2 linked regions of the Daphnia pulex genome follow. The protein of the gene in region 2 binds, or shares a complex with, the protein of the main gene of each other region. Links are inferred from orthologs where the notes say so. Each region holds a gene or a part of one and is shown on either strand. Other genes may lie near its edges.

Evidence for each region. The genes of interacting proteins can lie anywhere in the genome.
Region 1: mediator of RNA polymerase II transcription subunit 12-like (region 2) and cyclin-dependent kinase 8-like share a complex: the UniProt entries of both Drosophila melanogaster proteins name them as parts of the cdk8 module of the Mediator complex. The link is inferred for Daphnia pulex from reciprocal best matches to the Drosophila melanogaster genes kto and Cdk8.

What each region holds. Positions count from the first base shown.
Region 1 is NC_060023.1:3,949,146-3,954,877, reverse strand, and holds cyclin-dependent kinase 8-like, read left to right. Parts: upstream 1-2,057; 5' UTR 2,058-2,269; coding exon 2,270-2,430; intron 2,431-2,493; coding exon 2,494-2,680; intron 2,681-2,760; coding exon 2,761-2,901; intron 2,902-2,969; coding exon 2,970-3,159; intron 3,160-3,224; coding exon 3,225-3,339; intron 3,340-3,399; coding exon 3,400-3,498; intron 3,499-3,595; coding exon 3,596-3,668; intron 3,669-3,737; coding exon 3,738-3,835; intron 3,836-3,902; coding exon 3,903-3,987; intron 3,988-4,100; coding exon 4,101-4,574; 3' UTR 4,575-4,667; downstream 4,668-5,732. Other genes in the region: uncharacterized protein LOC124198281, read left to right, coding at 1-153, 213-453, 512-852, 925-1,686; protein disabled-like, read right to left, coding at 5,264-5,732. UniProt on the Drosophila melanogaster protein: Component of the Mediator complex, a coactivator involved in regulated gene transcription of nearly all RNA polymerase II-dependent genes.
Region 2 is NC_060025.1:6,925,530-6,931,073, reverse strand, and holds the start of mediator of RNA polymerase II transcription subunit 12-like, read left to right. Parts: upstream 1-1,707; 5' UTR 1,708-1,869; coding exon 1,870-1,959; intron 1,960-2,096; coding exon 2,097-2,204; intron 2,205-2,289; coding exon 2,290-2,481; intron 2,482-2,544; coding exon 2,545-2,704; intron 2,705-2,767; coding exon 2,768-2,979; intron 2,980-3,035; coding exon 3,036-3,200; intron 3,201-3,270; coding exon 3,271-3,540; intron 3,541-3,630; coding exon 3,631-3,747; intron 3,748-3,815; coding exon 3,816-3,922; intron 3,923-3,988; coding exon 3,989-4,292; intron 4,293-4,353; coding exon 4,354-4,731; intron 4,732-4,862; coding exon 4,863-4,982; intron 4,983-5,097; coding exon 5,098-5,544. Other genes in the region: metallo-beta-lactamase domain-containing protein 1-like, read right to left, coding at 88-300, 368-497; chromatin accessibility complex protein 1-like, read right to left, coding at 904-980, 1,042-1,162, 1,240-1,374. UniProt on the Drosophila melanogaster protein: Component of the Mediator complex, a coactivator involved in regulated gene transcription of nearly all RNA polymerase II-dependent genes.

The DNA.
Region 1 (5,732 bases), on a different chromosome or scaffold from region 2:
GTGTATTCCCATTTTGGTGTTTCTGGAACGGAAGATGGAGTTAATTCCATGTTACACCCTATGGATCCTTCAGTGAAAATTCATTGCCTCCACGATGTTCCTCATTTGTTGAAATGCACAAGAAACCATATGCTTGAACATAAATTAGTTCAGGTAACTTATTTTTCTTAATGTTGTTTTACTTAATTTGTAATTCTAAATATTATTTGTAGTTCCAGGGACACAACGTAAATTTTTATTCGTATGAACATCTACTGGAAGCCCAGAAAGGTTTGCAATTGATGTTATGCTGCCGATTAACTGAAGCGCACGTAAAACCAAACAATTTTCAAAAAATGAACGTCAGACTAGCTGCTCAAACATTTTCGGAACGAAATGCTCTTGCTTTTAAAATCTACCGTGAAATGCCAGCCTTTACTGCAAATGAAAAACGGCTGAAAAAGTTGTTTGAAGGTATTTTCCATAATTAATCAATCAATTTAAAATGCTATTGATTATTACATATTGTTAGGTACTGAACACATTGAGCGGCTTACAAAGACTGTGAATGACAATTTTGACGTACTCAACGGTAGACATATCAAAGAAGGAATCACTCCCAATAACTGGTGGATAAATGCACATGATGAAAAAGTGAAAGGCAGGAAACAAATACTTGAAGCCATGTTAGCAGTTCTAGCAGTAACTGAGAGGATTTATGAAAAGGACAAAAACCGAAAAATGTTTTGTTCCTTGACAACCGTACATGGATGGAGAATGACTATAAGAAGCGTTATTGCGTTAACTGAAGAAATGTTTAACGCAGGCTATACAGTAGTCCTCACTGGAAAAATGAATCAAGATCCAGTAGAGGTGAAACGAATTTTAATCGTGATTATCATTTCTATTGCAATTACTCAATAACTTTTTTTCTAATTCATACAGAGACTGTTCGGCATTGTACGTGGTGTTGATGCTCATCCCACGGTGACTTCTTTTCAACAAATCATTCGCTATGTGTCTCTTGGAGCAAGATTATCCACGATTATACAAGGAGCAAACGTTGACAATGTTGAGCAGATGAACATCCTAGTAACAATGTCAAAATGCCTTAAACGTCAAGCCAAGGAAAGTGACATTCGAGCTTCCGACCTGAGATCAGTATTAGAAGATAAACTACTGAAGGAAATAACAATTCGGTTTGTTGATAAAATTAACGAACCAGCGAATTCTAATTTCGTCAAAGATATTTTGATTTATGATTTGTGTGGTTATATGATTCACACAAGGAAGAGTATGTCAAAATGTCCTGACTGTTACAAATCCCTTCGCTGCGAGGAACTGGAGTTGCCAGAAGACTTCACTGCAGATCATTATACTCGAATGCGCAATAAGGGGTTTTTGATCTTTGTCACTGTAAATATGTTCCAAACATTCAGAGTGATAGAAAAGGTAATTGAGGGTCATTTTGAGCCAATTGGCCAAATGTATGAAGAGGAGTCATTTCAAGAGTGCATGGAGAAAATTTCAACTTGTCATTTGGTTCCCATTTTTTGTGACATTCATCGAGATGAAAAGTTACCTTACCTCATAAGAGAATATGTGGGAGTTAGATATTATTTTGAATCAAAAAGACTAAAAAATCTTTTGTTAGCTGAAGCTTCAGCAAATGTAAAAAAAAACAAAAAATTAGCAAAACTTGCGTAGGTACCTCTGTATTTATGAAACATTGTATGCAAGAAAATGATTCGTTTTAATAAATACCCATTTGTAACTACACTAGAATAAAATTCAAAGTAACTGAAAACTAAACATACCATGTCATTACATATTTTTTTTACACAAACAAACAATAAAATGTAAGAATGTGAGAACACTTAGAAAAATAGGACACTTATATATGACTTAGAGGTTTGACAGTTGGATACTTCTACCTTTTTATTATTGTTCACTTCTTGTAGAAAAGTAAGCTGTGATTGGTCAATGAGTTTTTCATAGACCCTTCCTGATTGGCTGGCTTCACGTAGTACCTGACACACTCACTAGAGGCGCTCATCAATTTTTCCAAATCGGACCACGGTTACCCTGAAACCGGGATAGGGAAGCCAACACGGCCGAGAACCGACCAGGTATCTATTGCTCTGCCTTTTATTTGAATTTTTAGTTTTTTCCGTCTGCTCTTCATTTCCTCCATCTGGCAAACGTCATTACAGTATAACAAACCAAAAATCGTCAACAAGAAAAAATATCAACATTACACAAATTGATTTGCATTCATGCAATAACTAGCATGGATTACGATTTTAAAGTTCGAACGAGCGTAGAACGTACCAAAGTAGAAGATCTGTTTGAATATGAAGGAAGGAAGATTGGTCGTGGTACTTACGGTCATGTGTATAAAGCGAAAAGAAAGGAAACATTCGCCACTTCGGATATTAATAAACTAATTAGGTTTGATATTCTCTAAGCACGAGAAATTGTGTAAGTTCAATATAATTATGTTTTATTTTATAGTGCTGACCAAAAGGAATATGCATTAAAGCAAATTGAAGGCACTGGTCTTTCCATGTCAGCTTGTCGTGAAATAGCCTTGCTCAGGGAGTTAAAGCATCCTAATGTGATCAATCTTCAACGAGTATTTCTTTCCCATACTGATCGCAAAGTTTGGCTTCTTTTTGATTATGCAGAACATGACTTATGGGTTTGTTAAAATCTTCCTTCTAAAGTTGTTTTGGTTCATGATCTTTTAACTTATTATATTTGTCACAAACCAAAATTTAGCACATCATTAAATTCCACAGAGCAGCCAAAGCAAATAAAAAGGCAGTTTACACTCCTAAAGCCATGGTAAAATCTTTGCTATATCAAATCTTGGATGGGATTCACTACTTGCATTCTAACTGGATCCTTCATCGTGATTTGGTATTGAGAATTATCTGCTTTTGTTAATATTTTCATCAACAAATAGATTTTTGCTTTCTTTTCCTTAGAAACCAGCCAACATCTTAGTCATGGGAGAAGGAATTGAAAGGGGAAGAGTTAAAATTGCCGACATGGGTTTTGCTCGTTTGTTTAATTCACCACTGAAACCTTTGGCTGATTTGGACCCTGTAGTTGTGACTTTCTGGTATCGAGCACCAGAACTGCTTTTAGGAGCTAGGCACTACACAAAAGCTATTGGTAAAACATTAGTAGTTTGTGTGGTGTTTCACAATTCTATATCATTGCTTTACAATTTATTTTAGATATTTGGGCTATTGGATGTATTTTTGCTGAACTACTAACATCAGAACCAATTTTTCATTGTCGTCAAGAAGACATTAAAACTTCCAATCCCTATCATCACGATCAACTCGATCGGTATGAAAATTTGCTCTTCGTGAGTGTCAGAAATGAATTATTTATTACATTTCCTTGTAGAATTTTCAACGTAATGGGATTTCCACATGACAAGGACTGGGAAGATATTAAAAAAATGCCTGAACATCCTACACTTCTCAAGGATTTTAAACGTAACAAGTAAGTGTTTATTTCCATTTGTTTGTTTACTTCTTAATATTAACTCCATGTTCAAAATGCATCTTTTGTTTATTTTTTTTTTATTTTTTTCTTTTAGCTATCAAACATGTTCCTTGATGAAGTATATGGACCGGTATAAAATTAAAGCCGATACTAAAGCTTTTCATTTGGTAATCGATATTTAAAATTAAAAGTTGCGTTTTTTTCTCTCCTTTTTTGACTGATTAATTTGCTTCAAGCTTTCCAAACTTTTAATGATGGATCCTACTAAAAGATTCACCTCAGAATCTGCCATGGCTGATCCTTACTTTCAGGAAGATCCTTTACCTACTTCAGAGTAAACTTAAAATAAGAATCATAATGTAATATAAGAATCAGTTTTGATCAGATTTGTGTTTCATTAGCGTATTTGCTGGTTGTCCTATTCCGTACCCGAAGCGAGAATTTTTGAGTGACGAAGAGCAAGATGACAAATCTGATAGCAGCAAGGTAATAATAAATTGTTCTTTTGATTTTATTTTATCTAGTCTTTTTCGTCTCCCTTGTTTTGGTTTTCTTTCATTTGCGTTTTATTTGGCATTTGGGTACACTTTTGAATTCAGATGATTGCTAAGAATCCACAGGGTCAGAATACTGCAGCGAATGCCCCCAATGACCAGTCTCATGGTCCTAATGCAAAACGAGTACGGTTGGCTCCCCCACATCCTGGAAACAATGTTGGTGGATCCAACATGTCAGGAGGCCCACCAGATTTCCATGGTCAACATGTTGGACAGCAACCCCATGTACAGCAGCATCCTTCTGCACAGCAACAACAACAACAGCAGCAGCAGCAACAACAACAGCAACAACAGCAGCAGCAACAACAACAACAGCAGCAGCAGCAGCAACAACAGCAACAGCAACATGCTTCACAATCGGGTAATTCTAATCATGGCCATGGCCATCACCCTCAGCATCCGTCACAACAAGGCAACATGCAAGGAGGTATGCATCCGAACTATTCCAATCATCCTGGCCATCCTCAACAACAGTCGCATCCTCAGCAAAACAACTCATTTAATCAAAGATTCTGATGCTCTTTTCATCTATTACTAGCAACTTATTGTATTTTGTCTTCATTTTGAATTCGTAAAATAAAATAAAATGCGTACATTTTCATACTAAAACGTTTAATAATGCATTACCGCTGGAAATGAAAAAGGTACATAGAATAAAAGATACACGATGGATCGTGTTTTGATTCCAGGAATCAAAGGAAAATTGCTGTAAACTATGATCATGTTTGACGAAGGGAGTAACTGCCAAATAGCGAAAACAAGTGGAGGCTGTGTATGGGTACTTGGGTAGAGCAAAAAAAAGCGAGAAAAAGAAACAATATTGAGTCCTTGATTCATGTTCAGCAAAAAAAATTAAAAAAATTAAAAGAAGGGTAAAATGGTAAGTGGCTACGAAACGAAAATACAATCACAAATAAAAAATAAGATGACTAGCCCGTCACATTTTCTATGCCAATTGACATCATTTGGCATCAACAAAGATGCACCAAGAGATTTGGTGAACTATTATTCTGCCACACTTTCAGGTCCACTTTCCATGACTGGTCATAAATACAGATATGACAGAAAATGTTACTTGGATGCTTTCTTTTTTGTTATTGTTGGGGACAGGGGATGGCAGAAACGACAAAGAAATTTTTAGCGCAAGAGAAAAGATAGTACGTCAATCCGCAATAGACAAGGTTCCGACTTTTTAAATGATAGTTTTAAAGAGTAAATTCATCGTCAACGTCATCAAATTGAATGTTATCGTCGAAGGGTTGAACCCACGCAAAAGGGTCTTCGACGATCGTATTAAAAACATGAACAGATGGTTGTTTAACCATTTGAGAATTAGAAGGTGCAGGGGAAGAAGCTTTAGCTGGAGGCAGATCCGGTTGGAAGAAGTCGTCATCAAAGGGATCGTCTACTCGTGAAAAGATGTTTACTGATGTCGATTTCTTGACCAACTGATCTCCTTTGGTCTTTAGCTGATGATCCGGATCCTTAGCCTCACTAAAAGCTGAACTAAAATCGACAGCAAACGAATCTGAAACGGGTGGAATATTTGGTTCGGTAACCATTTTATCTGAGGAAAGGTCAAAATCTGCAAACGAATCACCAAATCCTTCAACTGGGTTGGCAGGGAAGCGTGCTTCAAAAGCAGCAAACTTGTCAGCCAAATCATCAATGGCT
Region 2 (5,544 bases):
ATCATACATTTTGTATGTAAAAAAAATTAATGTTTGTTTGAAGCTAAAGTAATAAAGTACACAATTAAAGGAAACCACAGAATTTACCTTTATCAAAAGGATGTAAAAAATATTTGTCTTTAACAGAAATGCAATAGCCAACTATATGTTTAGCTTTCAGAAACAAATTGTTGTTGCCAGTGTGATCCGAATGACCATGAGTAGATATGACATAGTTGATGTCATCAGGGGTTAACCCATTCGCCTCTAAAGATAGTAAAATGAGATTGGTATCCCAAGGTGTCATTGTATCAACAATTACTGAAAAAATAATTTATTAACTGTTATCACGTTATTGCGAACATATTTGGATTGTGCTGTTTGTTACTATTTTTACTGCCGGTAACCAATACGCATGAGCAATTTGCACGGACGAAAGGAAGATTTTCGTCTTTTTCCTCAATTGTGGTAGAAGAATATCCAGTATGTATTACTGTAACACGGTTGGAGTTCGCCATCCTTTTAGAAATTAGAGTAGCCCTTCTAGTGTCAAAATGTCAAAAATCAAAATCAAATGTTTTGTTTTTTTAGACTGCTTTTTTCGCCATCTATGGGTGACACGCTGAACTTTGCCATTTTGCTTATTGCAGCAGCTGTGGTTTGAAAATAACGTACGCTAAATTGAGGGAGAAAAAAATACGGACACACCCGTTTAGGCTAACAAATGGTCACATAAAACCGCAATTAATTAATTACAACAGTACATTAACTGCAGTCTATTGAACCACCAAACTATCTTAGTTGATGTGAATCGTAAAGGAACAATGGGTTCAATCAATGTATTTGAAATTGAACTTTCCTTAGTGGAACACTTATAAATATGAGCAAGTAATGTTGAAGACAGAAATGAATTTGAATAAACACTCAAAACAAGTCACCATTTCCTTTTTCCTTCAGAATTTCTTGATATTCCTTGTATGTTATTTTCTTAGGAACCATATCTGAAAACACAATAATAATAATAAATTAAAATTTTACTAATACCATTTAGTAACACAGTACCTTTGAGAAACTGCATAGAATCACTTTTTTGAACAATGTCAGCTAGACCTTTGTAAGTAAGCTCATTTGACTTTTTGGTACTTTCATAAATCTCTTGGGCTAAATGTTCTACAAAAAACTCCTTAAAACATTGAAACATTTTAGATGAAGATGAGAAAAATAAGATGAAAAAATTATCTGGAAACAAACTAAAAATACCGTTGCTTTTGTTACAAAGTATAATGCGTCAGTGGATATGCTCTCAGTATCTGGGGAACTCTTCATAATCATTTTTACTCGTGCTTGTGGTAATATTATGGAGCCGTCTCCTAATTTCGGTTTAAAGGAAGACATTCTTAATTTAATTTCACTTGATTTAGTCCTTCACTTCAATCAATTCAGCAATTCCGCGCCACTACAATTTCTAACAAAATGCCAAAATAGAAATGTTCAAAATATAGTCTGCTGACTTTTACAGCACTGCCAAGATGTGATCAATGAAAATTGAAAATGCAAGGAGCATATTTTGTCATTAATTTGTTCATAATAAATTGATACCAATTGTATTAATAACTATTTCTAAATTCAGTTGCTAGACTACGATTAGTCCAAAATTCAAATACATTCATCTCCAATTATTCTTTATGTGTGCCGTAACAGCAAATTATAGAAATGCAACGTTGTAGCAAAGCCATCACACTGATATATCTGTCTGAACCATGGTCTGAAAATCGGAACTCTTGATAAGAATTTAGAAGTATTTGATTACTTGTGTACTTGTGTTGTGTAAACATTGATGTGTGGTAACAAATTTATACTTCTGCGTGGAAATTGATTTTAGAGCTAGTTATGGCTTGTTTATCAATGGAAAATCGTCCTCTTAAAAAATTGAGATTAGGACCGCCCGATGTTTACCCACAGGATCCCAAACAAAAAGAGGTAATATTTTGAATGTAGCTGCAGCTTTTTTATGAGCCCAAGTACGAAAATGCTAGTTGCCAAAAGGCAGTTTCATTTAAAAAAAAGGATAATTCTTTATGTTTTCCTTTCATTAACATTTGGAATACTATTTTTAGGATGAACTGACTCCTGTCAATGTGAAACAAGGATTTTCTCATACACCCAATCTTAATCAGTCTGAAGAGTATGGATCTGCTAAAAATCACAACTTTTCTTTATCAAAGGTAAACTACAATTTACTGTAATTAGTATGATGTTCATAGATTGTTCTAGGCTGACAACCATTTTATTATTCTTTCCTAATGTTAGGTCCAAACTTTTATTAATGGAGTGCTTACAAAAAAACAAGAAATCAACACATTGCCTGATACTGGCCGAAAACGCCAACTCATCAATCCCAAAGAAAATTTCCATAATGTTACTCCAAAGTCCAAGGCATTCATTGAGTCTTGGTTCAAAGACTTAGCAGGCAGCAAACCTTTGATGAATCTAGGAAAAAGAGTAATATTATACTCAGAATATCTTAAACAAATAAAAATACCAACTTTTGATTCCTTTTACAAGGTGCCAATATTCAACAAGAAGGAAGAAATATTTATCCAACTAAGTGAATATCAGGTTCCTATGTCTAGAGCAATATGGTTAATCAAGATGACATCTGCGTATTCAGTGGCTATTTCTGAAGCCAAAATGAAAAAGCGTCAAGTTCCAGATTCCTCTCAAGGTAGTTTCCAAGATTTAAATAATTTATTTTATCTGCAATTATAATCATTTTTTTGTTATATAGAGTGGACTAGTACATTGGTCCGGTTCATAAAGGAACAAATTGTGAAACTACAAGATTTCTATCAAAAATCCACAAATAGTGGAGGAACTTCTGCTGCATATGCTTCAAATGCTACTGCATATCATAATGGTAGCCCTTTGATGAGTGATGAACAGAAGCTTGCTCTTCGCCAATTTAATTATTGCCAGCAATTATGCAAAGTGATGTTTGAGGTATTGTGGAGATAAAATTTTATTTTTTCGTTTTTGCAATTTCATTTGTCTTTCAGGAGGGACTTCTTGAATGCCAAGATTTCTTACAATGGCAGTTGGACATGCTTGAAAAATGTAAAACTTGTGATGATGGTCTTCTCAAGTTTATTATTCCATTAATCTTGCAGTATGTAGATGAATTTACACAGTGTGAAATTCTGAGTCGAAAGCTTGTTTTTCAGGTAAGGTTGGATGACCAAGTTATATACAAATCTTGAAATAAATGTATTGTAATTGGTTTCGTTAAATCAGGTGTGTAGAAGAATTTCACCGCTTCTATCGAACGATCAAATCAGCGAAGGATCAGTTTCGTTAGATGTGGGAAATTGTGGGCAGCATAGGAGTGTTCTTCTTCAAATGTCTGCCATCATTCAAGCAGTCGTTCTTCATTGTCCGACGGCGTTAGTGTGGAACCATTCTGGAGAAGGAAAAATATCATCTCATTTGGTTGGATCCCCTTTAGATCATTTGCCTATTCCTCCGTCAGCATTACCTATGGCTCCTCGTTTTTCAAACGATCACGTAAGGACTTGTGACCTAAATTCTAGGATTACATTTTTCTTGTCACTATAACATGACAAACTTTAATCGTACTATATTCTTTTATTCTAGGTCCGTCAGATGCTTCGAGAAGCTGAGAATGCCATCAAACAGCGTAGTAAGGCTGCCGAATCACGATGGCCTTTAGATAAACTGATTCATCACTCCGAAATCAATTGTAGTGTTAAAGTAAGTCCAATTCTAGATATTGAAATAATTTTCATTTAAAATTTTAATGAGATGATTTCATCCAATAGCAGAAACAACAAAATCAGCCACAGACTGGGATTATAACAGCACGAGTGCTTCAGGCTCTCGAAGCATTGGATCTTCATAGTTTCGACCGTGTAGACTTGACCAACAGGTGAGACCACTTAATAGTCGTACCCTTACATCCTGTTTGTGACCTTTCAATCAATATTCATTTCAGTATCGATTCACTGTACGTCAAAATATTTCCGGCAATTGGGGGAAACAAAGGAAATGTTGATCCTGCAACTGTAGAGCAAATTGGCCAATTCGCCAAACAGGATGAACCGTTTGTTCGCCTGTTGTGTCAATGGGCAGTTAGTGATCAACGATATGGAGAACACCGCGCGATTGCAGCTGCTCTGCTTCTAGAAAAGAGACAAATGGATTTGGTGGCTTTAACAGAAAGTGATGCTGTTGGAGGCGAAGACAATGATACCGACGAAAATTTGGCTGCCGTTTCCGCCGTCCAACCCGTTTATCAGGTTTGCTTGATTGTTATTTTGGTTTTTCTTAATGTTTCTAAAATTAATGTTGATTTCTTAGGGATTTTTAATGAAATTTCTTGACTCCGAAGCACCAGTGCTCAATGAATCAAGTTCCGGGCACAACAATCGAACAGTTTTTGCGTCTTTGGTTCATTTATACTATGAACTCATCAAGCATGACGTGTTCTCTCATGACATGTACATGTGTACTTTGATTTCGCGAGGTGATCTTCTCTCAGTTACACCTGGCCATAGTGGAGCTACGGTTGCTCCGTCAAATTCGGGTCATTTTGCTGGCACTCCAAGCAGCGGAATGAGTAGTTTAACGGGATTCCAATGTATGAATGATTTACGCTGTGAAATGGATGACAGTAAAATAGACGACGATCTTGGGAAGTTGTTGCAACATATCAAAGAAGAACAACAAATTGTCATGGTTGGTATTTTTTCTTGTATTTATATTAGTGTAATCAAATTCCACTTTCGGCATTATTTACTAGCTATGATATTTAAAGAAGTATTTTTCAGAGGTTTTATTTGATGTTTGTTTTTATTACTTTCACTCAGGACACGCCTGATTCTCCCAAAGATGAAAGTCATAACACACTTGAAACTGGTCGAGGAGAGAAAGAGGGTAAACGTCAATCAAGACACCTCCTGTTTACCACTCATTTTCCTTTGCCTCAGGTAATATACATAATATTGATCTAAGAACTTGCACGAATATTCGAACTATATTTAAATTATTGATTACTTATTGGTTATTTGTGTATCCTAAAGTCGTCTTATCTTTTCTACTTAGGATGATAGTTTAATCCACGACTGCAATCAACGACACATTCTGCTGTACGGAGTTGGAAAAGCACGCGAAGAATCTCGCCATGCTGTTAAAAAAGTCTCAAAGGAAATGTGTCGCCTTTTTCACAAGAAGCTAGCGATTGATGTCCAAACGGAAGGGACTAATCTAGCTGGAGGAGTCGGAGCCTTTGTAGGTTCTTCGAAATCCCGAAAACACTCGTCGCGCCTCGAGTTCAATTTTGAATTGAGCATGCAACGCTTTCTATCGTTATCTTACTTTGATCGTCATGCCGTAGCTGCCCAAGCAGCCTCAACTTGTATGGAAATGATCAATAGCTTCACCGTTGGAGGAGCAGCGTATTTGCCTATTTTGGAACACATTTCTTTTCTCTTCGATCTCTTCGAAGTTTCGCTAAGTATAAGTGGACTCATAGATCTATGTCTACAGCTC